Linked DNA regions of Oryzias latipes. The protein of the gene in region 3 purifies or fractionates together with the protein of the main gene of each other region. This does not show direct contact. Links are inferred from orthologs where the notes say so. Each region holds a gene or a part of one and is shown on either strand. Other genes may lie near its edges. The genes, in order: sympk, ube3d and cpsf3.

Region 1 (7,125 bases), on a different chromosome or scaffold from region 3:
GAGAAAGGCACTGTGTTAAAACAAAATCAATGTTCACACAGACAAAATGAAAGGACTAAGCCGGGTTCTAACCTGATGAGGTGTGAAGGAGTGGACATGCTGCAGAAGAGGCGCTCTCATTTCCGGACAGCGTTCAAACACGCTAGCCAGCTGTGCAGGTGGGAGCTGGAGCAGTACACTGTACGACTGAGGCTTGGTTCTTTGGCAGCACTTAACAAAACCTTCCCAGACTTTGGGATATTTCCACACCTACAGGACAAAACATCCAAACCTTTCAGATGGTAATGAAAACAGTGCCTACTTCCCTGAATATTTTTTACTGGCACAGCAAGTACAAAAAAAGATTGATTGGATTGGACGCTTTTTCTTTCGTAGAGCTAACCTGCTTAACAATAAGGCGCGACAGGATGTTCATGACAAATCCACCCAGTCGGGGATACATGGTGAGAGACTGGATGACAGTGCGCATGAGCAGCATAGGGAGAGGGTTCTGCTCCATCAGCTGCTGCATCACCACCGCTAGGACCTCTGAGGTGTAAACATTCCTCTCCGCAAAGCACAGGTTGGTAGCTGGAGCAGAAATACATAGGAAAAACCAAACAGGCAAGGTTCATAAATCCAAAAGTGTTTGGTTTCTTTGTACACAATTGGCACAAATGAGTGGAAAAAGAAGAAGAATTTTGTCAGGCACAAGAACATGACTGAAAGTATGTATAAAAACAGTCAAGGATGTGATTTACAAGGTCCCCAAAATTCCTAGAGAACCTCTGGTAAAGACTTGAAGATCAAAGGAAAAATGGCTTTCACAAAGGGAATGTCTGATAGCATCTTAAAAACCAAACTGTCATCATTTTTGTTTCAGGTGTCTCTGATCACTGACCTTTAATGATAGATTTCATATCGCATTTGACTGAGTCGATATTGTGTAAGGCAATGAGCAGGTCCCCAGGAGTGAGAGGGGAAACAGATGAACTTCCCTCACCTGCAACAACAGGACCAAGGGTCAACACCAGTCACCTTTACCACTATAAATAAAGCTCAGCAGTAAACAATGGATCTGGTTTCAAATATAAGTAAATATATTTTCATAAATAAAAGTAAGAAATTAGCATTAAAGATTTAATTAACATGTTTAATCAAATATATGCTTAATTTGCTATTGGGCTGGACTTGTGTAGTAGAAATGTCTAAAATTAAGCATGGATTCAAAGAATTATGCAAACATTAGATAAAAATAGCTCTTACTGTGCTGAGTTCCTAAGAGTCTGTTGAAGACCTCCTTCACAACAATCGGGTTCAGTTTGATGAGTTTAGGGAGAGCCTGGATGACTTCATTCTATAGATAACCAAAAACAAACAGGAATAGTAAAGACAATCCCGAAAAATCCTAGCGGTTGATTCACTGACTGTTAACTAGACTGGCACCTTTTCAAGACCATTTATGACGGGGATTAGGAAGCGAACATCTGGCACTCTTTTGTGGTAAAGGTCTCGCACCCTCTCCACCAGCTCTGGTGATGGTGGCACTACAATAAAGACAGTTTCCACATATTTCATTGTACGCTCTCATGGAGGACAATGCACCAAATCATGCAAAAATACATTTTCCTTTCAGAAAAATCTCCACTCTGTGACCTAAATCCAGTACAAATTAAACATTACCTTTATCAGTCAATATGTGCAGGCAGCGAGTGACCAGAGTCTCTGCTCCTTTAGGACAATTTTCAACCAGCAGTAGCAGCTCTGGAGAGTTCATCCCCATTCCACGAATCTAAAGCAAAGAGATAAATCAAAAAGCACAAACTACTCAAATGATTTAGTTCAAATCATTTCCTTTTTGATTTTCTTGAGGTCTTGTGAAAGCCCTTCATCAGACTTTAAAAAGGTACAGAGATCTAATATCTCGTTCTGCTCTCAAACTGTTTGTTTTTGTTCATAAGGAAGAGGTGTGAGGTGAGAAGTTTCAAGAATGTAGAGAAAAACTGAAAATAGGGAGAAAAAAAGGAAATTTTTGTTGAAACATGAAATCAAACAAAAAAATTTAGACTAATTTAAGATGTACACAAAAACATTTCAATTGGTGTTTAAAGGCACTTCCTTAAAAGGAAAAGTAGTAGAATAATTTCTTTTTCTGATGGAATGTACAAACTAACTCATGTACTGAAGTTTATAATGGTAAACCCATAAATAGGTCAAAATACAATTAAAATAAACCTGCATTACAGTGGCATTACTGCTGACCAATTAAAACATTCTCATCATTTCATCAATGGAAGCATGAACTCTGATTTTATTTTATGTTTTGTTTTAATTTGCGTGATTTAGGCAAAACCATAAAGTTAAAAAGTTTGACTGTTAAATTGTTTTTTTTATTATTATTCTGAGGGGTTGGTTTATGTTTCACGCTGCTTATGACTCAAACAACCCAAACTTTCCTAAACAAATGAGTGAGGAAAGCCTTACAGGCTGCTCTATTGCTCGGAGGACGCTGCGTTTGATGTCAGCAATGGCTTCAGTGTAGACGGAAGCCAGCTCGTGGACCAGCCGGTGGTTCAAAGGAAGCAGGGACAGGTAAAGGAAAAGACACTGTCTCACTGTCTCTTCAGTCCAGGGGGCAGCCACCTCTGTGTCAACAAATGCAAAGAGCATTGAGGCAAAAATGTGAAGATCGCATCATCACAATCATAAGTCAGATATGTTATGAACAAACCTGTATCCTTGTCGGCTCCAAAGAGCAAAGATGGCGGGTTGGGGTGAACCAGAAGCTGCAGGTAGTTTAGAGCAAACTTCTCGATGTAATCCCTCAGTTGGTCTTTCTCATACATGCGCTTCAGAAAAGCCAAGGCAGTGGTGCGCACCTGAAATGGAAGAGCAGATATTTAGCACAAGAACAGATCAGACACGTGCCCATCCCAGCATCACCTTCTCTTTCTCGTTGGAGCTGAGATCCAGAAGCACGTGCAGATACTGAAACTGCCTGGAGGGCCGCTTGACTATGAGCTCCTTCAGAGTTGTCATTCCTAAATATACGCGAGACTGAAACGAAAGGAAATGGCTCACAGAATGCTGAAGGAAAGGTTGAGAAGTAGCCACCGGAGTACAGCTGGGCTTTTTTGTGTTTTGTTTTTTTACCTCGTCCTCACAGTAACGCCGGATTACTTCTAATGCAGATTCGGTTATAATGGGAGCCTCCAGTACCAGCTTGGTGAAAAGCCTAGAAATAAGGAACACACAAATCTTCCTATACATACACAGCAACCAAAGCAATGTAGCAAATCTTGATACCAAGCATGTGTTCTTACCCATCCCTCTGCTCAGGCTTCTCCTGCAGGCCTGACAGCAGAGTGAAAAGACACTGATCATAGCTGTCCAGCAGGCCTGAAGGGAGCTGGCTGAGGTAAGTGTTATACTCTTGGTAGAGCAGAGAAAAGGCCAGATCACTCCTTGACCGGATGTCCTCTAAAATAAATTGAAGTACGTCCTCTTTCATCATTCCTTCAAACTGTGTCACAAGTCTGGAGAGGAGCTTTACTCTGATCTGCAACACAGATTTTACATTCTTATACCCCAAAGGAAGGAAATAGACTGACCCTATCCAGTTTTAACCCCCCTGCACTCGTTAAAGTCAAGATGTATCCTGATTTGGGTTACTCACATGGGACATTCCACTTTGTGCAATCGCTTTCTCTGAATGTAAAATGCGCTTCACAGCGCTTGAAGTCAACTTCTCATTCTGGGTGTCTGATAGAGGCTGAACAACATCTGACAAGCGGAACACTTTTTTCCTACCGCTTGCCCCCATCAACCTGTAAAGAACCAGAATCATGCGGGGTGACAAGCGAGATCTCACCCTCTTTGCTGTCTGAATGAAGTGCTAGAACTCACTTGGTTGGTGCAGATGGAAGGATGGGCTCTGGAAGCCTCTTTGGTGCGGCTGGAGGTTCCGTAGCAGAGGGCTTCTCGGAGTAACCTCCGACCACAGAGATGGCTTGGCCCAAGATCACAGCAGGAACTTTGCGTTTGATGAGAATGTCTTTAGCAGTAGAGTCTTCCTCGCTCTGTTCCTCTTTGCAAGCCTCATCCCCCTTTGCTTTGCTTTGTTCAAGACCTAAGGTTCAAAGTTCAGAAAATGCTCATATAAGACAAACCAGCATCTTTGAGGATTCTTATTTCGTTTTATGTTTTTTTCTTTTACTATGAAGTGTTTCTGGTGCACGTTTGTGATGCTCACCTGGACCAATTCCAGCTGCAGTCATCTGTGTAGCCATCATCCTGGCCAGATGTTTAATCTGCGCATCAGTACCTGCAGATTCAACAGGTGTGTATGTGGCCTGGAAAGATGCTGGCATCACATCAGGCAGATACACCATGCTGATGAGCACCTAAACCGAGGTAATGAAGAGTTTTAGGACACAAACCCTCAGAAAAAAAGACAGCCTGAGAATGATCTCAGACACTTACGAGGTTGGCGACATTTTCAGGAGTTAGCAGCGGGTGAAGGAACTCGGCCGTAAGGTCAAGGGCAGACTGCACGGCTGGAACGGCCGCTGGCTTGGGGGCTGCGAGGGGGGCTGGCTCCTCCTTGTCTTCATCATCTTCCATAAGAGCTGGTTCTAAACAGTAGAACACGCACCATAAATCAATAAAGAAACCATGTGTCTTTGCAAAAGCAATTTTAAAAAACCATAATAAATAAAGAAACCATGTGTCTTTGCAAAAGCAATTTTTATAGGCCTCCGATGCCCAAATATGGTTAGACATGAGTTATGCTAATTTCATTCAGAATATTCCCAAAAACAACATTATTGGAATAAAAAAAGAAGAAGAAAAGAAAACCTGTAATGAAACGGGATCGGAGTACCCAAAATATGTTTTAAATTCAAAAAATGTCTGTAATTGTTGTCACAAATTAAAACAAATCCATAGTGAATTTATAATCCACACTGATAGCACAAAATGAAACATTAAAATATAAACCGTGGGGGAATTAAGAAAAGAGCAAGAATAACCTAAAATTTTGAATCTAAAATTCTATTTCTATTAGTCAATCTAAAACTACAGAGTCACCACACAGTAATCTAAAGAATCTCTGGGTGTGATGCTGCTGCAATAGAGACTAACCTGTGCAGAAAGAAAAACTAAGTAAAGCAAAGTTACAGCCTCTGCAAGTGATGGCAAGAAAACAAACACTCGTAATCTTTCAACAAGTCCTTTAAAGACTGTTTTTTTTTTATAAAAATGTTATTTTCTAAGGCAGTCTGCATTTTTGTGGTGAACTACTCACCAATCTTGACCTTCTTTCCCTCTGTGTATTGCTCATAGCGAGGCCTCTTGCGAGGCTCTCGTGGTACAGGAGTGTTTCGAGTTATCTCAGTCTGAGGCATTCCCAGATCCAGCAGCAAAGTGCTGATCTGACCCTGGAACTCCACACTGCACGGATGTTTGAGAACTGCCACCAAGTGCAGCTTTAAGTTTTTTCGAACACTGCTAACCTGAGATTTGGCCAGAGTGGGGGGAAGGTTAGCTAGAAAAAAAGATAAATATTAATGATTGCACCTTAATAATAATGTTAAGGGGATAATATATATTTTTTTGACTAAGAAGCACTCACCGTGGAGGGTCTCATATGCTTGCACCACCTCTGACATGAACATTGGTCTTTGACGGGCAATCGTTGCCAAAGAACCCAATGCAGTGGTGAGGTTAATGCTGGATATAGCTGGGTGGACCATGAATTTTAAGAGCTTTTCCAGTGCACTCTTTCCTTCTTCACACAAAGTACCTGTTGATTCAACAGAATGTAATAAATCTATCCTGCAGTAAGAAAGATTTTAACATGCCTGTTTAAAAAAAAAAAAAAGAAAAAAAAAAGAGAGTTCTAAAATCTTTACCGTAGTGAATGTACGAATGGTCTTTGGGAACTTTGTCAAGGCTAATGTCAGCATCCTGGCGTTTGGGTACATCAGAGTCAGGTGTCCGCGGCGAGAGAGTGATGATTAAAGATTCTGTGAATTTGATGCTGTGTGTGCGAACACCATCATTGTCGGAGTCCAGCAAGGCCAACACTTCCCCTTTCATTTGAGTGATCAAGTCCCAGCATGCCTCCTGCATTTCTGACAGTGTTTTTGAGCTGACCAACCACTGGCAGAAAAGAAACAACAGAAGATGTGGGAACATAAAAACACCGTATTCCTATTATTTTAGCAGGAAATTATGCGAGTGACTTTAAGGTGCATACCTGTAATGTTACTTTATAGAGCTGAGTGAGTGTCAGAATGGCTTTCTTCACCACATTTACACTTTCATCCTTCAGCAGCATGTTTAGATTGGCGATAAGTCTAACAAGGAGCTCATTGTCCCTTTTACTAGTTGGGAAATAGATATAAAAAAAAAAGAGTTTCAATAAATATACATACATTTAAAAGTGTATAAGATGTAAAATGTTGACACAAACAACTAACCATGCTTCCTCTATAAATCCAATGACAAACTTTTTCACTTCTATTGATTTGTCGGTCTGAAACGCTATTATTTCCTGTAAAATAGAATTGGCAAGATACAAGAACATGACTGGGCCGATTTTAACTTACACGCTTACCATTCCTTTGCCATGAAAGGCAGGTGCTTACTTACATCCAAAAAGTTGTCAAGAAGGGACGGATCCTTGTTGATGATGAGCTCTTGAACCTAAAGGAAATTCAAACGCGTGACTTCAAATTCTTACAACCACCTCATCAGCACCTCAGTCGGTGCTGCTGTGTAGCAGTCATCTAAACTGCACAGATTTACACTACCAACCTGTTTGAGAGCAGTCAGCTTTTCATCAGTGGGTATGAGAGAAGCTTGATTCAGAAGCTCCACCACCTGAGAAAAGAAAGAACCAGAGTAAGTCTCTACAACGCTACAATAAGAGGCTAACCAGCCAAAAAATATTAGCATAATTTCTACTATATAGCATGTTTGAGCCAAATGAGGTGTTCTTAGCTATTAACCCCAGACAACTGCAAATGTAGACTACAGCCCCATTTAGATTAAACTGCAGCAATTGTAAATATTTCTTATATATTGCAATTTATCAGAACAAAATCGATGGCAGATTAAAAAATAAAGAATGTTTAGATAGCA
Region 2 (8,236 bases), on a different chromosome or scaffold from region 3:
AGGGCCAAAGCCAAGCAAAACAAATGAGCCAGGTGTGCTGAGAGGGAGCTCACCTTCAAGTACGGAGCAGGAGAATCAATAAAACCGGGAGTGGCCGGGGTGACCTGTATGTGCAGCGGATGATCAATCTAAATCTGATGGGACTGTCACGCCGTCCTTAGCCATAACTTTCTGTTTCGATGGCAGTGACAACCATTTCAGGTGAAGCCAAAAGATGAGCGTTTACAAGACGCTGCTCAAAAACTTCAGACCAATTAAAGGGAGTTCTGGCATGGCAGATAAAGAGGCTGCTTATTGGTTTTTAATGATGCTCAGTGCAAAATAGGATACCTTCAAGTACTTTGATGAGTGGCTCCAATTAAATGTGAGGACTTCTACCTTTATGAGAGCTCTGCTCAACAGTGATGCGGAGCCTGAAGTGCAGCTCCTCTGCACTGGATTCTCCAGGTGTTGGGATGCAGGACCCCTCCGTGAAGCTGACTCCAGCGGGCAATGCCAGCTCCAGCTGCCCTCTGGGAGTCCTGACCACAAGAGAGGACCCTCCTCCGGTTACAAGCACATCATCAGCAGCTCCGGCCACCTCCTTCCTGCAGGAGACGGAGGCAGAGACGCAGACTGGCCATCAGATTTAAGTCAGACAGGATTAGAGCAGCCGATAAGAGAAGACTCAACACATACCAAATGCAAAACATGAAAAATAGTGGAAAAAATAAACCGTTGTTTCATTGAAGGAAAGTAAAAAGTTACAAGCAGCTCTAAAAAAAAAAAGCCTTTTTAAAAAATTAAATCAAAAATTGACATGCAAGAGTCTGAGATCGTAATGTCAGACTAAAAGTGAAAATACATACATAAAAACTAAATTCATTTCATTCAAATGCATTCATTTCAACAATTAATTAATAAATCACCCCCCTCCCCCTAAAAAATGTTTCCAGACTCCAGGGAAACAGAGCAGCGACTTGAGAAATGAATGAAATGATTTATTGATTTCTCCAGCTCTCATTACACTGTCTGGCACTGCCTGAAACCCCCCAAGAATCTGTCAAATCTAAAGTTCTCCGCTTGAACGTCTTTCTCCTGAACCTCAGGAAAAAGCTACAAAACACGACAAGCAAACATTTAAGGGCTTTTGGCTCGTAAAAGAGCAGCTTTCCTCTCCTCTAACTTTGTTTTAAACTATGACAGTTGCAGTTTCTTTTGGGATAATGTGACGTACATCTGCTGCATCAGGTTGTAATAGTTTAATACTTTGCCATAGAACTCCTATAAAGATATTAATCCCTAATCATAATAATAATAATAATGATAATAATAATAATTATTATTATTATTATAATCAGAAAATTCTATTTTCTCTTTTTTTTTGCGCTTTTACAAAAAAGACAGTTTAGCAATTATTGCTGTTATGTAAAATACAAAAGGCAGCATTTGTCTCCTGCCAAATGAAAATGGACTATTGTAACGGATTTGTAATTAGTCTCGCCCGCGGTGATTAATAAGACAGCCACATCCAAACCCTATTGTTAAAATGTCATGTCCTAATCTATGAATTTCAGAAAATGTGGGACAAAACATTGTCACAAAAGAACAATGCATTCAAACAAGTATTCCTATTTATTCATTTGTTTGTTTGCAAAGGTGGACAGACTCCTACTATGACTGAAGATGAACTAGGGTGGACTTTTATGTGGTTTCATGTACAGTGGATGGTTTCCCAGGAGACCACAGGACTTCTCAGCTGTTGGGAAAACAAATGAAGTACATGTGGTAGCAGAGTGCTGAGCTCTGTGAAGGTCAATGCTTTTGGAAAGTCCTCTAGGAACTGAAGATTTTTTTTATATCTTTAGATCTACTCCATCTAGAGGCACAACAGGTGTACTGCACCCACCGCTTTGACTAGTAAATTTAATTTGATCATTTTAACATTATTCCCATTATTATTATTATTATTATTTCAATATTCTAGATGTAATCCATATCATGCCAGGGGTATGTTTTTATTTCTACCAGAAAAAATAAAGACATTTTATAGCATTTTTCTCTATGTTACAGCAGATGCTGGGTTTTTAAAGAATTGGTTCTTCAATATCACTGATCGTATCCTAGAAATTAAAGTCAGTTTTGTCATTTTTATCCTACTTAGGCAAAAACTGCCCTTAGTTACTTTTTAGATGTAATTATAATTTCTTTACCAAAGGTTGCTCCTTTCTTTAGTATAAAACAATAATTGTTGAATGCTATAAAGCATTCAACCCATTGTTTTCCTGTTTCTCCTTCTTTCTTTCTTTATTATGGTATCTTCTGCCATTTTTGGACGCTCAACTTCTACAGTTTTTATGCTATTTTGAACTTTCGTCTATTAAAATGTTCAGCTCGTTCCAGTTGTGACTTTTGGTCCTTCAAATCCTTGAACTTTTCAAGATTTCCAGGATTTTTGCCTCCGTTAAAATAAATGGGGAATCCTCAAAAACCTTTTTTTCCTTCTTTCTTCCATTATAACTTCAACATACTTTAAGCTTCAGATTTTCACGTTTTTTTTTTCGTTTTTGAAATATAAGCCTTTAAACTTTGTAGTAATTTCAGCTTTGTAATGGGTTTCAATGGGAGAGGCTTCCGACATTTTCACCAAAGTTCACCCTGTTTCATAGCTCCTTACTTTGGCATTCTTTCAGCTACAGACACCATTACAACGTTAAAACGCTCACAGGACTTTGGACAACAACATAATTTCGTCTTGAGATTATGCAATTGACAGTTTTTTTGAATTACCTTTCAACAATCTCCCCCGCTGTGGCGTGAAGTCATATGGTCGACGGAGGAAAAAAGCCTTCAGCTTCTATAAACAAAGCTCCCTCACGTCTAGAAGGTCAAATTATTACCCTTTAAGTTTAATTTTCAGTCAGCAATATAGCATTCAACCCTGCACTTTTCTGCAGCTCCTTCTAGTTGTATGAAAATGTTCTTTCTAAAATAAAATTAATTTTGGTTGGAAAGTTGTAAAATAGGCAGAAAATTGATTGAAGGGTCTTTGTTGAAAACTACATCTAATAATAATAATAATAATAAGATTACATAACATTACTAATAACAGGACTCTTGCCTCACAGCAAGAAGGCCCCCGGTTCAAGTCCCGGCTGGGGGACCTGAAACAGCCCATCAACGGGGGACCTTTCTGTGTGGAGTTTGCATGTTCTCACCGTGCATGCGTGGGTTTTCTCCGGGGCCTCCGGCTTCCTCCCACTGTCCAAAAACATGCCTCATAGGTTAATTGGTTAATCTAAATTGTCCCTATGTGTGAGTGTGAGACTGAATGGGTGTCTGATTGTGGCCCTGCAACAGACTGGCGAACAGTCCAGGGTGTCCCCTGCCTTCTCCCAAAAGTGACCGGGATAGGCTCCAGCAGCCCTGTGAAGCTAGAAAATGAATGAATGAATGAATGAATGAATGAATGAATGTATGCTGGTGGACCATGCGTATGGAAACATACGTACTGACAACCCATCAGTTCATGCAGACTGAAGAAGACTGACGCTCACGTGCTCTTTGGAGAAGCAGGAAGCCATGTTTTCTCCAAACTGCAAGGTTCTCAAGACTGATCCTTTCATTCAGCAACATCCAGATTCTCATGGCATTGTTCTGTTGATTCAATCTTAAAACTGATTTATTTAGCTATATTTAGTGCAGAGGTCAAATGAAGCTGCCTGCTGTGGACTTCAAACGACATTTTCAGATATTCTGCTTGATTCATTGATCAGGTGAAATTAAATTTATCAATGAATATGCGCATCAATGTTAACTTTTCAAACAAAGTATTAGATGTACATAGATAAAAAAGAAAATGTGATCAAGTCCCCCTGGTCCAGGTTTCCTAACAGCTTTAAGCTGGTTCATTTATAGAAGACTGATGATTTATTCAACAATAACGTGATGATCAGTCTTAATTCTTTACTTTAGCGACTCAACATCGGATTATTTAAGCAGCTAACCTCAGGCTCACAGTCCAGGAGTTCAGAGGTAACTAGATCTATCATAATAGCTAACGTCGGCTTTCGTTGACATTACCTGACAATAAGAAGTCCACTCAGGAGCCGTTTCCTCAGCTCCCAAAAGACTCCAACTCCACGTGTCTTGCATGACGTGAGTTCTGTCATGTTTAGCAGATCCTTGGCTTTGGGATCGACACAAAAAAAACAACCCAAAGATGACCGGATATGTGAGTTATGATGGTAAAGTCCAATCTAAGGAATAGAGGATAGTGATGGGCTAGTAGTAGGAAGAGTCCCGTGTTTGCACCATCTGCACAGAGCTTTGTGTCTTGGTTTTCCTGTAGTAGCATTCAACATCCGGGAATGACTTTCAAAATAAAAGACGTGTTTACAAAATTAATTAGTTGTCCAAGCAGTGTGATTAGATGGTATAACAATTATGGCTTACTCATAACAGCTCATTGGGGCATTATATTTTACCATGTTTTTTTCTTAAATAAATAAATGAATAAATAAAATTAATAATAATAATAATAATAATAATAATAATAATAATAATAATAATAATAATAATAATAATAATAATAATAATAATATATTTTACTTACAATTGTAAATGTAAAATCTAACCTGGACCACATTTATTTATTGGAGGGGAAAAACATCATAAAGGTAATTAATTTTGTTAAAACTGCTAACATCTATTTTTTGTGAATAATGAAATAATGAACAACGTCTGAATCATTGTTTTTAAAGTTTTTTCAAATCACACTTTTCATGCATTGTACACATGTAAGATCATCTTTAAATTTGCTTGAAGTAGAATTTGACTCTTGGAGCACTTTACACATGTAAAAAATTCCCCAGCTGATATTAAACAGTTAAGACCTAGGGCCAAGAGGAAAAAAAGGACACGGACTGCAATGCTGAGGCTAATTCTACAGTCTATTTACTTTTGTGGAATTAAAGTCCAATTCCAGTCATCTTTTGATCCGTTTTAAAGGTATTTCCCGTGGTCTTTGGATTATGATTATCCATTTTTAGGAGAAAAAAAAACAATGGTTGTTTTCTAGGACATAGTTTCTGCAGAGTGGCAGTAGTTTATCACAAATTTCCTCTAAACTGTGGGCTGGACCGTTGGCAAAAAGCAATCTTCCTATTACTAATAACTGAGAGTTCTCTGTTTACACTCTCACCCATTAGCTTACAGCCCATCACACTCCAACCTATACTACTGGTGCAACAAAATGTCAAGCAATATTGGAGCAGTCCAGCCGTACAGCTTTGAGCCAGATTCCAGCTCAGATGAGGAAACACAAGACAGACATGGATCTGTTTGTCTGCATCAGAATGGAGCGGAGCAGGCAGCTTGTGGCATGCCGGTTGTAGCTTCTATGTCACAACTACAAGCTTTTCCAAAGACACTTTTTGCCTGCTCCTGAGTCACAATATTTGAACGGAGAAATACTCAGAAGGGCAATTTTAAACTTAATTTTCCTAATATATGTCTGCCATCGTCAGAAAAAAGGCACAAGAACATGTTAAAACACCATTTTCATCAAAACAAGTGATTGTTTAAAGGGCAATTGATTTGAACGTTTCTTAGGGCCCATTTTAAGATAAAGGACATTTTAAGATAAAGGAGAAAAAAAGTTTAAAAATTGACAGAATTTGTTAATCCAAAATAGACTCTTGCGTTTATGTTTTTTTTTATTGGAGACTTTTTCGTGCGAAAATAGGATTTTATCATGAAGGCACGGAGTGCGATTTCCTGGAGCATTGGGCGTAACCTTTGCGCTCGTGACACCATACCCGGAGCTGATTGGTTGTCGCAGACTTCCACGCGGAAAAGCCCTCGAACGCAGTGCCGAGCTGCAGTGCAGTCTGGGAACTGTCAGCCCTTTAGCTTTAGATGTGCTGCAACGGGAGGAACAGAACGTCCACCTCAGGTTTTCTTTTAGGACAACATTAGGCAGAAACAGGAACATGTAGATGAAAAGCGCCTTTGGTTTGTCATCACAGTGTTTCTCTCAGGGCTCCAGGTGTTGTTATAGAGGCTGATCTCGGCTGTGGGCCCCGGCCGAACGGCTAGCTGCTCATCATCACGGTCACATCATCAGCAGCAGCAGCAGCCGTGTTTACCTATCGAAGCGGATGCAAGAATTGAATGACAGCCCCAAACGGTAAGGCTTTTGTACTGTTTTTGTTTTAAATTTACGCTTTAAAATGGCACGGGTCGAAGTGAAATTAACAACTGGTTATTTGGTAGAACGGACGACTTTAAGCAGCCTTTTCTAAGGTCTACACACAACAATAGAATAGCGGGCGGGGGAGTATTATATTTGATGAAAACACTCTGTTGTTGTTGTTGTTGTTGTTGTTGTTGTTACTCCCTGTTCATTTCTTTCCCGAAACATTAATATGTGGAATACAATAAAGTCAAGAACAGTTGAGTCAAGTGGAGGCCTTCAGAGTTTCAGTTTCTTCCACTTTATGAAAGATTCAGGCACTTGGCCTGGCTGACCCTTTACGTCAGAGACCTGATCCACACTCACCTGACAGGCCACGCCCACAGCTCAAATGACATCACCAGGTCCCAGTTAAAACTGTCATCAAAGCGAGTTTCCACTTTGTCATAACCTAAAGCTAGATCCAAACAGTTTAGCTCAAAGGTGTGATGTCTGTCTCATCTGTAGCACCTCTGATTCAAAAATAGGTTTTTAATTAAAGCACATGACAAACTTGGTGTAAAAGGTTTTTGTAAGTCGAGGCATTTGAAAAATCCAAACCAACCTGAAGCTAAAAGAAAGCATGGTGGTTACGCTCTAACTCAGTGCAGATCATTCAAATAAAGAAACAGACAAAAACAAATCAAATCAATCCAAAAACAGGAACTTCCATTTCGTCTCTTAGGCAACATTGATGTAGCAAATAATGAAGACCCGTGTCAAATAATGCATCTTCTCAGGGAAAAGTTCAAAGTATTTTTCCACCGGAACAGTTTGTACACCAAATGAAAGTTTACTCGTTACTCAGTCCCAAACAGAGGTTCGTTTGGTAAACTGGTTCAACTGGTTTGAAGTGATAAAACTGATTCAGTTTTGCAGCTGATGGCACCAACATGAGGTGGAGAGCATCCCTGAGTGAGGGACCATCACACCCTGAAGCAGAGAAGCTGCAGCAGCCCAAGTTCATGTTACATAAGCAGGAAACTGAGGTGAAAATGCCTGATAAAGCACGCAGTGATGTCATGGACACATCTCTATTTGCTTCAGACAACCAAAAGATGGCAATCGAGTTGGCTGTCATCAGCCAAACATCCTAGTAGTGGATTTAGGGAAATCTCTGTGTAATCTTCTTAGTCAGCCAAGCATCATTAAAATGCGCTTCTGAGTGTCATTATTGAACACGGGCTTTCTAGTATGTGAGTGCATCCATCCTCTTGAAGCTGCTTTTAGCAACGCAGCAACCCACAGAGCCGTTTGAGTTTCCTCTTTCCTGTAGCTCCTGCAGAACAGCTATTTGAAACCAGCTTCTCACAAAAGGAGTTCATGTGAGGCAAGACCTGATCTCAGCTGCAGTTTGAGAAGGGAAGCTTCAGTGAAGCATCCAGTAGAACAGCCAGACTACGCTTTTGCTTCCAATCTGCTTCATTCACTGAAAAACCCACTCTATTGAAAAGGAGCTTTTTAGTATGTTCTTATGGGCATCCGTGGTGCGGCCGTGGTGCAGTGGTAGGGCGGTCGTAAGGTTGCAGGTTCGATTCCCGCCTTGCACGCCCAGGAGTCGAAGACACTGAACCCCACCTTGCCTCTGGTGGTAGGTGGGCGCCAGTGTTTGGCAGCGGAGTTGAATGGGTTTGTGTGATTGTGTGTGTGTGACTGGATGAATTGATTGATTGGGGCGGGCGTGGTGCAGCGGTAGGGCGGTCGACCCATGATCATAAGATTGCAGGTTCGATTCCCGCCTTGCACGCCCATGAGTCGAAGTGTCCTTGGGCAAGACACTGAACCCCACCTTGCCTCTGGTGGGAGGTTGGCAGCAGTGTTTGGCAGCGGAGCCGCCATCAGTGTGTGAATGAGTGTGTGAATGTGTGTGTGCATGGGTGAATGGGACTGTGACTGTAAAGCGCTTTGGGCCTTCGTAAGAAGTTAGAAAGCGCTATATAAGTATACGCCATTTACCATGAATGGGTCTGTGACTGTAAAGCGCTTTGTCTTTGTAGGTAGAAAAGCGCTATACAAGTATAC
Region 3 (8,153 bases):
GGACAGCGCTTCACTTACAACTTTGTGATGCCATCAGTTCAGTAAGTGCACATTAAATGATGCTCTGAGTTTCATGAACATGTCAGAAATGTGGCTTTGGCGTGTGACTTTGTCTTTGCTGCTGCAGTTCTGTGCTCACCTTCAGGTTACTGATGTGTTTGAAGACAAAAGGGTTGTTGACGTTGATGGCTTTGCGGATCTTGTCGTTCATGGCGTTGATGTAGGTTTGATAGACAGCCATGCATTTCCGGGCCAGAGACGAAGCGTAGTAGATGGGAATGTCGTGGAGCTCTGGGTGGTTCTGCCAGTACTCGTCTGGACCACAGGCACAAACAGTTTCTGCGTCACCATCATCACAGGCTTCAGAACCAGAAGGTGATGATCTGTGCCTGTGCACTCACCCAGGATGAGCAGCAGCTCTTGAGCCCGTCCCAGAGCAAACACGGGGATCAGACAGCGACCCTCCCTGTTTACAATGTCGTGCACCGTGTTGCAGAAACGGGCCTCTCTCTCCTCACGCTTCTCATGGATGTGTGTTCCATAGGTGGATTCCTGACAGAAAGGATCAGATATTTGTTCAACACCATTCTGAGACGGGACAGAGGACCCAATACTACCAGACCAACAGACTATGGAGACGAAAAGCTCTTAGTTTAGAATTCATTAAAACTCGGTATATTCATTTAATGAGTAAAACAAAATTCTCAATAACTCCTACGGTGTTTTTGCATTAATAACATGAGCACTTTCCATCTAGAGTCTGGTGTCTTTTGGCTGCGTGTTTGGACAGCTCACAGGTCTAACCGCCCTCAGAAGCAACGTTTTTGTGACATTTGAGACGCCGTGCGCTGTCTGCATGTACTTTAGAAAAATCCAGCCGCACTTTGGACCCTTTGCTCGCGTCGCTCTGCCATCACTGTGCGTTTGTCGTTACACACTTGTTAGCAGTGGAATACATGAGGGACAAAGTATGAGCAGCCCCCCCCCGTCGTACTGGAGCAGGAAAGGAAAAGCAGCCACATTCAAACAAAGTAGTGCACGCTGTGTGGGCGCTGCTGCCCCACTTGGCCGGTACCGTTGATCCCATTATGGCTGAAACCTATCAGTCCAGTAACTGATGACGTGGCACTGGTACCAAACGATACCGTTTCAGTACTGCATCCCTACTGATGTCTGAACATGAGACAGCATGAGACATGAGCCTGCGCCTGAGCTGGTCACTAAGGGGAGGAAAAATATCTGATCATCGGGGGGGGGGGTTTAAAGCCAAACTCACTGTGATGAGAATGTCTGGTTTCACACTTGGGATCTCCGCCGCCATCAAGTGTCTGTCCTCTTGGCGGGAGAAGTCTCCTGTGTACAACAACTGCAGGGACACAGACAAGCACTGAGCACCAGAGACAAACCGCTTTAGGAAGACGGATCCAGACACAAACCTACCTTGACTCCTGCGATCTCGATCATGAACATAGCGGCTCCAAGCACATGGCCAGCATGATAGCACCAGAACTTGATGCCAGCCACCTCCTTTACCTCGTGGAAGTTAATGGTCTCAATCTTTTCCATGCTGTCTTCCAGGTCCGTCTCCGTGTAGAGCATCTCATCAGCAGAAATGTTACTGCAGACACACAGACGGGTCAGAACAAAAAACCCAAGCTGTGCCCCAACTCCAGAATATCAGCCACAGGTCCTACGGCATCACTAGAGAACCTGAAGTAGCTGCATTAACCCTTGTGCTACTTTAGATGACCCCCCCCCCTTCCAATGACGTGTTCTCCCTACCATGACAAAGGTGGATAAAGGTGGAAAGATTTCATGTAATCCATGGACACCAATGAAGATCACAAATCATTGAAGAAAACAGGTTCAGAGCACTGTCTAGTGGGTCTAGATGACCCAACTCCCAATGTTAAAGTGCCTAGGATAGCACAAGGGTTACTAAGACGTCTAACCTACAGGATCTGCTGCATCAGACCTAAGACTTTCACTCCAACACGAGTTGTACCTGACTTTGATGTAGTCTGACAGCAGCCAACGATAGATGGCTTTGGTGGCATGCGTCATGAACGTCCGCCCTTTAAAACTGGTCTTCTGCAGAAACCAAGGCAGGGCTCCGCAGTGGTCCAGGTGGAAACTGTACAACAAGAATGGATGGTTAGTGGAAAGCTGCATGTGCACCTTTGCACACGTTCACGGCAGCTCTCACTTACTGACTGATGAGCAGCAGGTCGATCTCAGCCGGATCGATCAGGTCAATGTACGGCAGGGCGTCCATCCCCTCCAGACCAGGATGGATCCCACAGTCTAGCTGGAGTACCAACACACAGACAGCTGTTGACAATGTTAACAGCTGCTGTGACAAAGAAAACCAAAAGAATCTCACCATGATCTTCCTCCCTTTGAACTCCAATATGATGCAGGACCGTCCCACCTCTTGTCCAGCCCCCCTGGTCACAATCACATCAAACAGTCACACAGTAAAGAGCTGTGCTTACTCATGAAAGTACCCAAACACAGTGCTTAGACCAGGGGGGTCCAACTCCAGGCCTCAAAGCCCAACCAGAAATCCTGCCTTGTCTGGAGCTCATGACCTGGTGGGTTTATCCAATAAGGAGCTTCAACGGCAGGTTGGTTGGGTCCTCAGTCATGATATAAATACAGGGTTGTGTCAGGAAGGACACCTGCCAAACCACCTGTGTGAATCAGTGGAAGCTGATTGGCTGTGGCGACCCTGAAGGGATATGCCGAAAGGTGAATAACAAGGACAGGTTGGTTGGAAAAGATGGTGGACATCGGCCCTCGAAGTCTGGATCCTCACACCCCTGACATAGACTTTTAACTCAATGACAAAGAATGGGGGCACTTGTGGATCAACGTGATCAAAACCTCTGTGGACCGGTCCTCAACTACTTGCCCAAGTTTTTCTACCTCCTTTACATTTTTGTCACTGTAATTAGTCATTTCTCCTGTTGGGATGTGCAACGCTGCAGCTTCACCTCATACAAGACCAATGGAGAGAACTTAGTCTGGACTGGAGAGGTTTGATACTTCTCACCCTCCTTGTGACATGGGGGAAACTCAAGCCGCAAGGACTCCAACCATGTGGGGATAACTGGCCAACTGTTGAGCAACAATCCAAAGGTGTCAGGCACCAATGAGTCTCCCAAACAGGTCAGAGTCAGCTGTCAGGTTGAATTAATTCAATTCAGCTATAAGTTAATGGGATTTTTTTATTTACAATAACGCTGGTTGTAAATTGTAAACAGCAAATTGTGTGTGTGACTGGGTGAATGGGTCTGTGACTGTAAAGCGCTTTGTCCTTGTAGGAAGAAAGGCGCTATACAAGTATACGCCATTTACCATTTAAATTAAATGAATTTTCATTTAATTTAAAAAAAAACTAATGGAAAAAAAATCTAACTCTGCTAATTTGTCCTTGGAAAGCCGGGAGCAAAAGAAACAAAATTCCCATTTTGGGTTTTTCAGAAACCATAAGGTGGTGTGGAAACTACTTTGACTGAAATCACTACCAACTCAAAGTTTAATCATTCAAATGTTTAGGAGACTCAAGGCTCATCGATAGAAAATTAAAAAAAAGCAATTTGAAATGCAAAGGTTTTGTCTAAAAAAGATGCACCCGCATCACCAGGACATCACTCACTCACTCACACACCCCAACCCCCCCCCCCCCCCCCCCCACACACCCACACACACACACCCACACACCCCCCCCCCCCCACACAAACACACACACCCACACACACACACACACACACACACACACACACACACACGGCATTCTCCAAAACTCAGCAGGAAACTGAAGCTTCATTATTATGTTTTACTGTCGAAACCAAAGGAATCAGCTACCTGGAATCACACGTTGTTTGTTTGTTACAAGTTAATTAGGAAAAATGTTCCTGCATGTTATTTTGAAATATTTGATCGTCAACATCAAAGTTTGTTTCTCTCTGGTGACTTCCACCAGTGACTTAAATGTCCTACAGCACTTGAAAGCAACACTTCCATAAACTAATTTGAATGAACGTGAGCTTTGATTTCCTGCTGTCTTTCTGTATCTGCAACAAACGTCATCATAGTTTAATGTTTTCATTGTGAAAATTAAACTATTATTACATTTGAGGTGTTTTTGGTGTCTTCAAACATTGTTTCTCTTTCGGCAAAAGTTGCACAGTCTTCAGCATCATCATGTTCACATTCAGAGCTCACGCCTTTAAAGGTCCAGAAAAGTGGAAAAAAATGTATCTGCAGCGGGATGACAAGCCAACATTTTTTTTAACCTGGCAAATCCACAGAAATTATGAACGTATATTAGAAAGCATAATAAATCTCGCTCAGTTTAGACATGGAGCGGAAATGCCCATTTAGGTTTGACCGCCAGTGTCCGTTGTTATTCGGTGACGGCTCACTAGCTGCAGTGTTCGGTGGGTTCGGTTCGAACACTCACAGGGGTCGGATCAGCAGCTGGTCGCTCTCTTCAGCAGGAACCATCGCGTCCACCCTGCGTTTGGACGCCATGTTTGCTTCTTCAACGATGCCGCGCCTGCTGTTACTTCCGGTTCTTCCCGAAAACTCTCCGTGCGACACAACGCCTGTAAGTTCCGCCCCCACTATTTCTTTCTTTCTATTTTTTTCTTTACAAACCAAGTACAAAACCAAATAAAAAACAAAAACTAAAAAAATTCTTAAAAATAGGTAAATATAAGGCAAAAAAACAATTTAAAATAACAATAGTTTGGATATATTTCTGTACATTTATGTAGTTTCTTGTTTTGGTTTGAAATGCATTTAGGAAAGAAACTTAAAGTAATACAATATCTGAAAAATAAATAAAAAAGGACCCCCCCCCCCCCCATTTACATACCTAAATAGAGTGTCTACATCTACACAAAATAATAACAAGATTGATGACATCAGAAACGTTCAGGTTTTCCATAAAGAAGAGAACATTAAGTAATGAAAAAGAAGAAATATTACAATTTTTAAGTGACAATTGATTATGAATAATTTTATCTTTTTGCAACAGTGTTCTAATTTTTCAGTTTCAGAAAATACATGGTTTGGATTGAAATTTGAATCTTTTATGTAAAAAATCTCCAACAGGGTACATTTTTGATATTATTTAAAATCCGTTTCTTTCATTTTAGGTGAAAGTATTTTGTGTATAAAGAAAATGATTAGTCTATCAAGGTGGTTTCTGGGTCACGTCTATTGTGAGAGAAAAACCTTTTGTTTAAAGGTTAGAGTCACTAATTTATTTTTGCATTTTTATCTTTTATGGGGATATCATTAATGGTTAACTCTGCAAAGTGTGGTTTGATTGCATGGTAATATTTTATGAACAAGATTAAGTAAAGGTATGAGAATTACTTTAAAGACTTTTTTATAACAGCAACTAGAATCCTTAATTTTGTATTTGGTTACAAACCCATTGTAGGATAACAGCATTGCATCTGTACGCACCAAGTCATGAACAAAAAACACACCATCATCACACCACTAAGACATAAACAAGGATATCTTGTTTACAGTTACTGTATAATTCTGTTGTCCCATAAAACAGTATTGTGGGGGGAAAAGTTGTGGGAGTTGTTGGCATTTTCCCAAATTCTAATGCTTGCTTGTAAATGTTTGACTGTATAAATGTTTTTTTGACAGATCATATTCACACTTCTGCAAAAGGATAGTTCTCCGGTAGAGTTTGTTTGGGATATGATACCACATAGATTTCATACGATACCAATTTATTCTAAATGCTACACTTTGTAATTCAACATCTAAAGCTTTTGAGCCATTATTATCTATTATCTCTAACCAATTATGGTTTTAGTAAAAAGTACGTTTTATTTTTCCAAATAAATTTAAAGAGAATAGAATTAGACAACTTGATCGTTTTTGGGGATGCATAGATTGAGTGGCAGGGAAACACAAGTCTTGAAAAACCTTCTGCTTTAGATAATAGATTGTGGCCAAATATGGATAAGTCACGTCCCAACCACTGATTTAAAGTTTCTATATTGTTTTCAGTCTGGGGGTAATATTTACACTTTCTCTATCATTACTGTTTTCTGTCATTATTAGACCAAGATATTTCACTTCACAGGTTATTTTCAATATTACTTAGAGTGCAGGTATGAATAGGCAAGATTTCCCATCTTTTGAGATTTAGAATAAGGCCAGATGCTCTTGAAAAAAAAACATTTTATCAATAACAATATATACCACACACACACACACACACACACACACACACACACACACACACACACATATATATATATATATATATATATATATATATATATATATATATATATATATATATATTTTTTTAATAAAGCCGTGTCATCAGCAAATTGATTCATTTTAAAATTCTTACCTAAAATGTTAATAAACGCAAAATCTGGAGAATATTTCAGAAAGATGGCTATAGTATTCAGCTGAGCTTATAAACAACAACAGGCTAATAGGACATCCCTGGCAAACACCTCTATTTACAGGAAAGCTGTTTGAGAAACCTCGGTTAAGAATAATTCTGCTATTTATGTCTTTGTAGATCATTTTTTTTTATGTTTCAAAATTTTGATTCAAAGCCATAGGTTTCCAAGGAGCTAAACAAAAATGCGTGTTCTAATGAGTCAAAGGCCTTAAAAAGAATCCAGAAAGAGGATAAGACTATTATGGGGGATAATTTGGTTGTAACTTAAGATATCTAAGATTAAACAAGTCTGATGATGAATGTGTCGCCCCTTAATAAAGGCTGACTGTGTTTCATCTATGATCTGACCTATTCCTGATTTCACTCTGTTGGCATAGACATGTGCTCATATTTTATGACAACAGAGAAGTGTGATGTGTCTCCAATTTTCAGTTAATAACACACCGTTGTCTGGTTTTGCTAAAAGGGATGTAATGCCTCTTTTAATGTTTGTTAATTCCTTGAACGCCTCTAGCAAAAAATCTTTGATGTTATTCCAAAAGTGTTTATAAAACTCAGCTGTAATTCCTCAGGTCCTGGTGACTTCCCACTGGCCATTTGGGGAACAGCCGTATCAAGTTCAGGTGTGTTCAGATTCTGTGAGATCTCTGAATTTCTTATTTTAGATATTTCTGATCTATTTTAGATCCTCTCTGGTTCTGAATACATCTATTTTAGGGGTTTTATCCCGAATTAACTTTTCAAAGAAGATGTTGTGACTTGAAAAGTGAGAAGTACAAAAGTTTTTTAAAAAGTTAGTGATATAATCCTTAACCCTCAAGTGACCGGGTGGGGTCATTTATGACCCCAGCCATATAATTGAATGTGCCAGATCTTTATTTTTTATCCGAATTTTTTTTCCTACCATGAGTTTGTCAGTCTACTAATCCTACACAGTTTCATCGTTTTTTGCAGGGATCAGGCAATTTGTGTGACATCACAACTCTTGTGGGGTCATTTATGACCCCGAAGAGAAGCACTGGTTTTTAAACATTGGTTTTTCAAGTTTATTAAAATGTTCCACTTCTAATCAGTACTTTATATTGTGTTGCAGTGAACCATGGCCAACAGACCTAGGCTAGCAAGATTTACAGCTGCTGAAGCAATGGGACTAATACTTCAAGCCCAAAGTGATGATGAAAAGGGTTAAGGTTAGGGTTAGGGTTAGGGTTAGGGTTAGGGGTTAGGGTTAGGGTTAGGGCTAACCCTTCTCAGAGAGCTTGGGTATGAACTAGTGAAGCCACATGTATAGAAAAGGTCACAGTTTCCAAACCTCCATAAAGCAACTAGGGAAGGAATAGCAAGCATTGGTGTTGGTCCTGCTAACCCTGCAGAGCAGCCCGCAGTTGCTGCAATACCTGGCAAACGCAAGCGCTGTTCGTTTTGCCTACGCAACATTGACAGGAAAGTTTCACGTGCATATGCTTCATGCAACCAGCCAGTGTGCCCAGAACATAGCCACAAACAAGTGGTTTGTAGTACATCGCTGAACTTCGTTTCAATAGCTTTGAGGGAACTTGTTTTCATAACTGGGTATCTGCTTTTGAGAGTTACAATTTTCAGTTATTTTTTGATATCATATTACACATACACAAACAAGATGTTTGTGTGGTTTTTGTTTTAAAAACAGGCATGGTAGTAACATAGGTTGATT

The links.
Region 1: the proteins of cpsf3 (region 3) and sympk fractionate together in Homo sapiens (co-fractionation; 6 studies listed by BioGRID and IntAct, with this or other methods). This does not show direct contact. The link is inferred for Oryzias latipes from reciprocal best matches to the Homo sapiens genes CPSF3 and SYMPK.
Region 2: the proteins of cpsf3 (region 3) and ube3d purify together in Homo sapiens (affinity purification with mass spectrometry; 4 studies listed by BioGRID and IntAct, counting the BioPlex papers as one, with this or other methods). This does not show direct contact. The link is inferred for Oryzias latipes from reciprocal best matches to the Homo sapiens genes CPSF3 and UBE3D.

Annotation. Positions count from the first base shown.
Region 1 is NC_019879.2:16,686,319-16,693,443, forward strand, and holds part of sympk (symplekin), read right to left. Parts: intron 6,865-7,125; coding exon 6,799-6,864; intron 6,688-6,798; coding exon 6,634-6,687; intron 6,536-6,633; coding exon 6,462-6,535; intron 6,366-6,461; coding exon 6,239-6,365; intron 6,142-6,238; coding exon 5,892-6,141; intron 5,783-5,891; coding exon 5,612-5,782; intron 5,525-5,611; coding exon 5,285-5,524; intron 4,614-5,284; coding exon 4,462-4,613; intron 4,383-4,461; coding exon 4,232-4,382; intron 4,109-4,231; coding exon 3,886-4,108; intron 3,807-3,885; coding exon 3,656-3,806; intron 3,539-3,655; coding exon 3,303-3,538; intron 3,215-3,302; coding exon 3,133-3,214; intron 3,037-3,132; coding exon 2,923-3,036; intron 2,859-2,922; coding exon 2,711-2,858; intron 2,625-2,710; coding exon 2,464-2,624; intron 1,772-2,463; coding exon 1,663-1,771; intron 1,527-1,662; coding exon 1,426-1,526; intron 1,337-1,425; coding exon 1,246-1,336; intron 983-1,245; coding exon 881-982; and 5 more. UniProt on the Homo sapiens protein: Scaffold protein that functions as a component of a multimolecular complex involved in histone mRNA 3'-end processing. Specific component of the tight junction (TJ) plaque, but might not be an exclusively junctional component. May have a house-keeping rule.
Region 2 is NC_019874.2:4,397,377-4,405,612, forward strand, and holds the start of ube3d (E3 ubiquitin-protein ligase E3D), read right to left. Parts: upstream 4,331-8,236; 5' UTR 4,152-4,330; coding exon 4,063-4,151; intron 588-4,062; coding exon 379-587; intron 1-378. UniProt on the Homo sapiens protein: E3 ubiquitin-protein ligase which accepts ubiquitin from specific E2 ubiquitin-conjugating enzymes, and transfers it to substrates, generally promoting their degradation by the proteasome.
Region 3 is NC_019882.2:22,751,925-22,760,077, forward strand, and holds the start of cpsf3 (cleavage and polyadenylation specificity factor subunit 3), read right to left. Parts: upstream 4,597-8,153; 5' UTR 4,540-4,596; coding exon 4,469-4,539; intron 2,448-4,468; coding exon 2,384-2,447; intron 2,309-2,383; coding exon 2,211-2,308; intron 2,135-2,210; coding exon 2,006-2,134; intron 1,619-2,005; coding exon 1,441-1,618; intron 1,367-1,440; coding exon 1,277-1,366; intron 553-1,276; coding exon 402-552; intron 316-401; coding exon 140-315; intron 1-139. UniProt on the Homo sapiens protein: Component of the cleavage and polyadenylation specificity factor (CPSF) complex that plays a key role in pre-mRNA 3'-end formation, recognizing the AAUAAA signal sequence and interacting with poly(A) polymerase and other factors to bring about cleavage and poly(A) addition.